Canis lupus familiaris: one gene and its partner. The protein of the gene in region 1 interacts with the protein of each later gene in a pairwise test. Links are inferred from orthologs where the notes say so. Each region holds a gene or a part of one and is shown in the gene's direction. Other genes may lie near its edges.

The links.
Region 2: the proteins of MYCBP-associated protein (region 1) and MYCBP interact in binary tests that used the Homo sapiens proteins (3 or more experiments, as listed by UniProt). The link is inferred for Canis lupus familiaris from reciprocal best matches to the Homo sapiens genes MYCBPAP and MYCBP.

The regions. Positions count from the first base shown.
Region 1 is NC_049230.1:26,381,767-26,386,707, forward strand, and holds the start of MYCBP-associated protein, read left to right. Parts: upstream 1-1,575; 5' UTR 1,576-1,655; coding exon 1,656-1,731; intron 1,732-4,941. UniProt on the Homo sapiens protein: May play a role in spermatogenesis. May be involved in synaptic processes.
Region 2 is NC_049236.1:3,939,770-3,944,019, forward strand, and holds the end of MYCBP (C-Myc-binding protein), read left to right. Parts: intron 1-1,207; coding exon 1,208-1,256; intron 1,257-1,495; coding exon 1,496-1,625; intron 1,626-2,986; coding exon 2,987-3,031; 3' UTR 3,032-3,209; downstream 3,210-4,250. UniProt on the Homo sapiens protein: May control the transcriptional activity of MYC. Stimulates the activation of E box-dependent transcription by MYC.

The DNA.
Region 1 (4,941 bases):
CTGCAGTAAACATCTTGCACTCCTAAACCCATCTCCATGTCTGCTTCCTGGCAAGTCCAGATGACACAGTGATCGGCTTGATCTATCTTAAGTGCTCCGTAAATGTTCATGGAGTGAGCTAAACTGGGGACTCCCTTGCGGGGGTAGGGTGGGTGGAAGGAGGCTAGTGGTTGGGCCTCCAAGAGCAAAAGAGAGGTTGTCTACGGAGGATGTTTCAGTAAGAAAGTGACCATATAGAGGGGCATGAAGAGGTGTCTGGGGAACACACAGGGAGCCGAGAGATTACCCCTACAGTCATCCTCCCTAGTTCCTCCCCTTGTCTAGGGCAGACTGAAGCAAAGCTCTGACATGGCCCAGAAGACAGGGCACAAAGAGTTCTGGCCTTGGATTTGGGGGAACCATGCTCAAACTGTACTTCCTGCTACTCAGGTGCCTTTACAGCCTCCTCTTATGTAGACCTCAGTTTTTTCATCTGTAAAATGGGTATAGAGCCCATCTCCCCAACCTTACCATGATTTTGAGAACTGAGAAGATTCTATGGCTTATGGAGATCTCTGTGGTGGGTACTTTTCATGCATATTCTCACTTATGCATCTCAAGTACTCAAGTACATATTCTCAATTATGATCTCAAGTGGCCTTGTGTGGGAGGCATCATCATCTTCATTTTATAAGTGAGAAAACTGTGGCTCAGAGACGTCAAGGGGTCTGGTCCAAGAACACACAGCTAGCAAGCAGGCAGTCTGGCTCCAAAGCCCCTTCATTATTCCACACACAGTTTGAGTGACTACAAAGTGCTAAACTTGGGTTGGAGTGGGGGTGGGGACAAGTGACAGGCCTGCCTTGCTCTTACGGAGGTTACATTCTCAAGAGAACTTGATAACAGGCACACACTCACACACACACACACACACACACACCCCGCCGCCTGCCCCAACAGACAGAATAATTCGAGAATGCCTTAGGGCTCTAGGGAAAATATAAACCAGGTGCAACTGAAAGTTGAGACCACAGAGGGTCTACTTTAAATTCGGGGGTCAAGGGCAGCAGCATCTGCAGGGATTGAAACCAGCAGTACAAGGGGCGCCCAAGTCGGGGTAAAAGCCTGGGCTTTGGGGGAAGTGACCGAGAGCCTGTGGCGGGCGCGGGCGGGCGGAGGCCACAGGGGACGGGCAGGGGCCCCCAGGTCACTGAAGCCCACGGGAAGCGGCGCAGGGGGGTTCGGCGGGGCGTGGAAGAAACGGCCCGACGGAGGCGCGGAGGGCAGGCGGGAGCCGGGGCGGTGCTGACTCACGCCCCCCGCCCACCTCGCCCCGCTCCCGCGGGTCTCGCCCCGCCCCCGCCCCGCCGGCCGCTGACGTCACGGCGCTCGCCGGCTCCCTGTGACATCACGGCCCCGGCCGGCAGCTTCGCTCGGTTCGGCGCGCGGCGGGAGCGGCCCTCGGCGGGCGCGAGGGCGTGGCCGGATGAAGAAGGTGGCCGCCAAGCAGTCTCCGCCCAAGCTGATCGGTGGGTGCGCCCCCCCGCGCGAGCCGCTGGTTGCTATGGACGCCTCGGCGGCGGCGGGCGGGGGGGCGCGGGGTCGCCGGGGTGTCGCGCAGCCTCGTTGTCCCCGGTCCCGCGGCGCAGGGTCACGCTCTCGGCCCGGGCGGCACCATGAAGTCTCTAAAGAAGGAGTCCCGCCTCAAAATGTCTACTCACAGATTCTTGGAGGCCGCAGAAGTCTTTAAAGGTTGGCGCTGGCTGCCTTGGGAGCTCAGGAGAACCCGAGAGGGGCTGGGGTTCTTGGATGGGATTCACGACACAGGGCCTGGAGGACGGGGGTGACACCAGGACAGAGGTAAAGATAACGGGGGAATGGGGTACGGAGCAAGGCGTACCCCAAACCTCAGGGCTGAAGGCAGCGACCCCTGAGGGGAGGGGGCCCAGTGCACTGGGCCTTGGGGATGGGGACGCAGAAAGGCCGGAGAGGCCTCAGGGTCAACTGCTGGGCAGATGGCCCAGGGCAGGAAGGCCGGATCTCAGGGTGGGACTGCGCAGGCCCGAGCCCTCCGCTGGCGGGGGTTCAGAAGAGTCAAGAAAGAGGTCCAGGAACCCCAGTCCTTGGGAAAAGAGATTCAGAAAAGAATGCACGAAACATGTTGAGGTGGTGAAACCAACAACCCCACCAGGGGGATCCTTTGAGGGTGTTCACATAAGCCGCTGGCTGGAAAAACCCAGAAGAAATGCCCGACTTGGCCAGTTCTTCCCACCTCTCTCCACCACGTATGTCCTCTCGGGATGGATGACACTTGTCCCACTTGTTTAAACTGGAGAGCGCCTCAGACATGACAGCGTCCTGGCCTCCTCTGGTTGCAGGTGGCAGAGTCCCAAGGTGTCTGACTGCACATTCACCCCCGTGGACGTGTTCCTATGTGCAACTCACCTCATCTCCATCTTTTGCCATTTCCATTTATTGAGGGCCTGCTGCTGTGGGCAGGCACTGTGCTGGGCAGCAACGGTGTCAGTATTGACTGTGTGACCCTGGCCCACGAGAAACTCAATCTAGTGAACTGCCAGAGGAGGAACCAGGCAAATATCAATGCTCGGATACAGGGATCCCTAGTGGTTAAGGGGGCTCAGAGCCCTTGATCCCAGGCCTTAGATGCTAGAATTTGGGGGAAAAGTTTTCTGAAGAGGTGACATCTGTGGCTGACATCCCCTTCCCCACCTTCTTCTGAAAAAAGGCAGTTTGCTTTCCCAGGTCTAGGGAGCAGGGAGCAGCATGAGCTGAAGCATGGAACCAGGACCTTGGTGGCCAGGGCAGAGGTGGTGGGTGTGGAGGAGAGGGAAGGAACCAGACAGGGCTACATGGGTAGACGGGGGCCAGACCACGCCAGGGCCTTACTTGCTAGGTCAAAAAGTCTGTTCATGCTCTTGCAGGCCCTGAGGAGACCCAAAGCCAGCCTCAGAGCAGTGGTCAGCGTGAGGAGAGGGGCAGGTCTGCAGTCACCAGAGGCCCCTGGGAGGCCTGCTTAGTCACTATGGCTGGCTTTATCCCTCTTCGTAGTATAAAAGTCTGATTTAGGCTGGGTTGAGATGCTGTTTCATGACATAATTTTTTTTTTTAAGGTTTGTTTATTTATTTGAGAGAGAACACAAGCAGTGGGGAGGGGCAGAGGGAGAAGCAAACTCTCTGCTGAGCAAGGAGCTTGATGCAGGGCTCGATCCTGGGACTTGGAGATCATGACCTGAGTCCAAGGCAGAGACTTCACGAACTGAGCCACCCAGGTGTCCCTCATGATATAATTCTTAACAGTTAAGAGGGAAAGAAAAATAGCTGGGCCCCTTTCCCAAGGGCAGTCAAGGGCTTTCTTAGCCATTGCCTTCTGCACACCTAGTTTCTGGATCTTATCAGATTTGAACTTTCTACTGTAAACGAATCAAGGAAAGATTTATCACTACATATTTATTTTTTTAAGAAGGGGAAACGTAGTTTGTTAAATAGCCATTTGAGTTGGGAACATGCACCGGGGTGAGGAAGGATAAAGCCAGTGTTTAGTGGCTTTAGTGGTATGCAAGATACCCCTTTCTTCCCCCTAAAATATCTCAGGGGATGTCAATAATGTAGTAGAAAAGTACTTTTTACACCCTCTCCCCCATATGATATAATTAATCAACAATATAATCTTGTGCTATGTTTCTCCACAGTCTCTGAATTATAAGCAAAAAGGCAAGCAAATAATGTGACCATAAATCTGTTTGGGGACGTGAGCCCTTTTGACTTCCGTGTTTCTCCCTGCTTTTGTTAAGAAACCGGGAAGAAAAAAAAAAAAAAAAAAAAAGAAACCGGGAAGACTCCCAGCAGTACCAGATGCCCCTCGCCAATCAATGAAAGCTCAGCCCTGAACCCTAGGGACAGCCTCTCCCCTGGTTCTCCCAGTGCAACCCTGAAGTCAGAATTTCCCAAAGACCTTGGTCAACATTGAAAAAGAATAATGTTGGGATCCCTGGGTGGCGCAGTGGTTTAGCACCTGCCTTTGGCCCAGGGCGCGATCCTGGAGACCCAGGATCAAATCCCACATTGGGCTCCCGGTGCATGGAGCCGCCTTCTCCCTCTGCCTATGTCTCTGCCTCTCTCTCTCTCTCTCTCTCTCTCTCTGACTATCATAAATAAATAAAAATTTAAAAAAAAGAAAGAAAAAGAATAATGTTTAGATAACACAAGAAACAGAAAACTTGAGGCCAGGTTTCTTCTCCCTCCATAGTTTTTCCCCTTTCCCCCACCCCTACCTCGTCTGAGCACCTTGCTTCTAGCTGCCTGGCCTAACACCGGGGTGTTAGGCAGAAATGTTACCCAACTGCCCCATGTAAAGGGGCTGTCTCTGACCCCCTCACAGCTGCCAGGATCAAGGGAGAAATGCCAGCTATGGGACTCCCCAGAAGCCCCACTGAGCTTGGGTTTATAGACCAAAGAACAGGGAATAGCTGAGCCTCCATTAAGTTTAGTAGTAAGACATATCTTGATCCTGCTGAGTCCTCCCACAGGTCCTGAAATGACCCCCCTACATACAATAGTCCTTCCTCCCTGCTCTCCCCAACTTGCCTCTCCAAACCACCAACCTCCCCCGCCCAGCCCCCAGTCCACCTGGCTTACCCTCATTGGATGAATCACTCTGAAATGCTGCTTTTACCAACTCACTCTCCTGGACCAAACCTTCTTCCTGCCAGCAAGAAGACAGATGCTTCAGCCTTACTTTACCAAGCTGTCATGCCCTGATTTTTCTCTCATCCCCAATATCACCCCTACCTCCCCCAACAAGCCTTCTGTGTCACCATGCCTCACATACGTCATGCTCTGCCCTGCCTCCACCTTTGTTCTCTGACCTCACTTGGAACATCTTTGTTTGCTGCTCTGTCTGAAGGTTTCTGGTCCTTCAGGGCCTAACTTAGCCTCTGTTCC
Region 2 (4,250 bases), on another chromosome or scaffold:
AGAAGAGTAACTATCAGAACTCAGTCCAGGTTGTTAAAAGTCATTGATTGTCATTTGACTTTTTCATACTGTGTATTATTTTGATGAATTATTAAAACTAAAAAAATAAAAAAGGAAACGTGTAAGTTTTACAGCAGTTCTTGGAGTCTAGAGATGCACATTTTTTTGTGTGTGTAGTTAAATTTTTGGCTTTTGTCATTTTTCAAAGGGTTCCATGCACAAAAAATTTAACCACTGGTTTAGAGAGATTTTTGTCTGAGTAGTAAATCCTAGGAGGAATTTGTTCAATAGAAGATGAGAAAGGTAGTGCTGACATAAGCTTTTGGGTACAAACTAAAACATCTATTTTAATGTTGATCTGAGCATGTCGATTACTGGTAAAGTTTTTGGTTGGTGGTTATTTAGCATATTGTATATGAAACTATTCTTGAAGCACACTTTGAATTCAAAGCTTCTTCCAGTAATTACCATAAGCCCTGTTGATTCTCCAAAATTTTTCTCAAATTAATCTACTTTGTTTTCACCCCTCCATCACGCTAGCGCAGGTTACTATCTTTTTCAGCTGGATTAGGACACCTGCCTCTTAACTGCTCTTCCTGCCTTCATCCTTGTCCCACTCTGGATCTTTCACACAGCAGTCAAGAGCGATCCTGTCACTGTCCTGCTTAAACTGTTTAATTATATGCCTCCTGTTTTGAGCATCAAAGTCCAACCAAACTTGCCGGATCCTCCGTGGTCTGCCTCCTGACCACCTTGCCAGCTTCCTTCCCTGCCACATAGTTCATAGCTCCATCTAGCCATATTTGAATTTTCAGTTCCTCAATATGTTGTTCTCTTGTCCTCCCCACCCCCTCACCTTCCCATTTTATCTGAAACCCTCAGAGCCAAGTCTCACATCTTATTTCCCTTCATTGGGGAGCCTTCCCTGGTGCTTTGGGCTGAGTTAGGTGTTCTTCCAATGTGCTCCCATAATCCATCATCCTGTATTGCCGCTTGATGCTCTTTTTTTTGTCTAGTTCCTTGCTTTTGCACTAGACTGTAAATTTGTTGAGAGCAGGGACCTTATCTGCCTTGTTTACCATGGTATGGCAGCCCTAGCAATGTGCTTGGCATATAATGGGCACTTAATATTTACTGAGCTATGGAATATAATTTCAGTCAAATTTAAGACTTTAATTGTTGCTTTTTTCTGCTTTTTGATTTGCAGTATTGGTAGCCTTATATGAAGAACCAGAGAAACCTAATAGTGCTTTGGAGTATCCTTTTCATCTTTCAAGTCAGAAAAAGGACTTATTTTTGGAACTCTTATTTTTTCACATAAATAATATTTGAAATATTTTTGATGATTGAAAAAGTTACTTCAAGTTTTGTGGTGATGATCTCTGGGTAAATGGTGGTGGTAAGATGGGGTGACTGTGATCAGAGATATTGATACTACTCTGAGATATTTCATTAGTTTCATTCAGCTCAAGTAAATTCTTAACTTTGATATTAGTTTCTTAAAGCATCACTTAGGAGCTGCTACCCCAGAAAATCCAGAAATAGAGCTGCTTCGCCTAGAATTGGCAGAAATGAAAGAAAAATATGAAGCTATTGTAGAAGAAAATAAAAAACTGAAAACAAAGGTAAATGTTTTAAAAGAATTCATGTTAAAAATAATTTCATCTTTAATGATTATAAGATCAAAGCCTCACTAAAACGGATAGCAGGGAAGGTAGGGGGATTAATAATCTCAATTAACTGCAAGGCTGAACTGATGCCCTATCTAGAAAACCACAGACAGATAGTAAATAGGACAAGCTACGTGTGGTCAAGAAGAGGTTCTTAGGAACCCACATCAAGAAAAAGATGAGAGGGATGCCTGGGTGGCTCATTCGGTCTTGACTCTTGATCTTAGCTCAGGTCTTGATCTTAGTAGGGGGTGTGAGGTCAAGCCCTGCACTAGGCTCCATGCAGAGCATGGTGCCTACTTAAAAAAAGATGAGAGTACTGGTTAATGCTGCTTATGAGTAAATGGAGGTTTCTGGGAGTCATGAACAGTTGATTTAAGTAGGTCAATGTAGGGTCATTGCTTTGTGAATAGCACCTCTTAGAGTTGTGCAGTACATAATCTGCACAGTTGTATGTGCTGGCCTATCTTTATAAATTTGTTTGCACCTGATTTTGTCTATTTGCTAAAGTTTTTTCTTTGTTGAAACTCCTGTGAGAATTTTCATAAACTTCAAATTAGTCAACTCCAAGTCTTTGAGGTTTTTCCACATTTGAATCACATAACGCATTTTATATTAGGCATTTCTCATAATGTGATTTATCTTCTCAACAACCTTGCGAGATAAGTGAAACAGGTACACAGACCATCTTATATTTAGGAACTGAAAGCACCTTGAAGTCTAATTATCTTCTCAAATCTGACAGCTAATTGGAACAACCTAAATCTTAGCCTAGTGTTCTTTCAGGGAACCACAGCTTAGCATAACAGAAAATGCAGCATCTTAAATTATCCAGGATTCCACAACACAAATACCAGTTAACTTTTTGGCACTTTTTAAGTCAAAGACATGAGCTGCTCTTCATTGACTGGCTAGATTATTCTTTTTCCTGCTTTTTAAGAGAAAGTTCAGTCAACGTTTGGTAAAGAGAAAGATTAAGTACCTTGCCAGAAGCCACAACATCTTTGGGAAGATACAGATTATTGCATATCAAGTATTTGAGTAGTGTAGTCTCGAATTGGAATTCAGTTTTGGTTTCCCAGTAATTTTAAAGGCTTATATGAAAAGAGTTTTCATTAGACTTGATTATATTAAATCTTAAATTGTATTAATCTTAAATGGTTTAAAAAGGGATATGATATTCATATAATAAGTTACTGATTCAGTAATTAAACTGGACATAATAGTTAACTACTCGTTTTGTTACTATTAAGTTTTTTTTTTTTTACCCAACTTAGAATAAAATTCACCTAAACTCCTCTGTCTTTGCCCTATAGCTTGCTCAGTATGAACCACCTCAGGAGGAGAAGCGTGCTGAATAGGATTCTTCTCAGTTGAAAAGACACTGAAAAAATGGTTTTGTATGACTTGAATAGTTTGTATAGTATATAATCTTTTCTGAACAGATGCTCTAGAACTCTTTTAATATGTTGAATTCACCTATCACACTTTAACTGTTATAAACACATATACTTAGAATCACCAATAAAAACTCAATATAACTTTCTTTGGGTCTTAAAAGCAGGAGAATCCAAAGTGAATCCTGAAAAAAAATCTAAACACAGCCATCTAATTCATTACCTTAAAGGACATTGTTTATTAGTCTGACTAGGAATGATGGTACTGGTTGTATGTAGGCCAAGAAGTTCAGCATGGAGCTGTTCCTTGGTTTAGTGCAGGATGTGAGCACAGGTACAGCCATTCTTTAAAATGAAGAGGACACTGTTGTTTATATCCTCTGTAGGCAGCTCGAGAGATCTGTGTGACAGAAGATGCTTTTGCACGGGTTCCCATGAATATTGTACTCTTGTTTATATAATGTGGAACAAATAACTCTTCTTTGCCACCACTTTGCCTTAGATAACCGTGTGTGTGCCAGTTTGAACTCTGACACCACGTTTCCTTCTATGCAATCATGCCCTATCTGATAATGTTGCCTTGCTTTGCTCTGTGCTTCAGTGGGTTCCAGCTGCACATTGGCCTATGTTGTTTTTCAATTTGCTATACTAGCAGTTGCCCTGATTGTAATTTATATACCTTCAAACAGGACCACAACTGTTCCCCTGTCTTACTTAGTTGCTTAATTGATTGAGCACAGAACTGAGGCAATATAAATTTCTGGGTTCACGCACAAGCTGGGATAAGAAGGGGAATGAGCCATATATCGTGGAGAATTATAGTTTGCGGGTATAATTATATAGTGCTTTTTTTCCCTCAGTATTTTTCTAGCCTTGAATTCATTTTATCTTCATTATCCCTGTGAAGTAGGTAGGGCAGGTATGAGGGGAGGTTGGGTGCTGAATTTTTAGGCCAAAGACTGATATTAATACAAATTCTTCACTAACTATAGAACCTTGGGCACTTCAGTTAACTGCTCTGAGAGTCACTTTCCTCATCTGTTAAATGAGAAGAATAATATCAGTGCTGCCTACCTCACAGGGTTGTTGTGAGGGTCAAATGGAATGTACGTGAAAGATCTGTCAATGGTAAAGCACTATATTCTTGTTTGTTAGTCCTTTTCCTTTCTTTTGGAAGACCTAT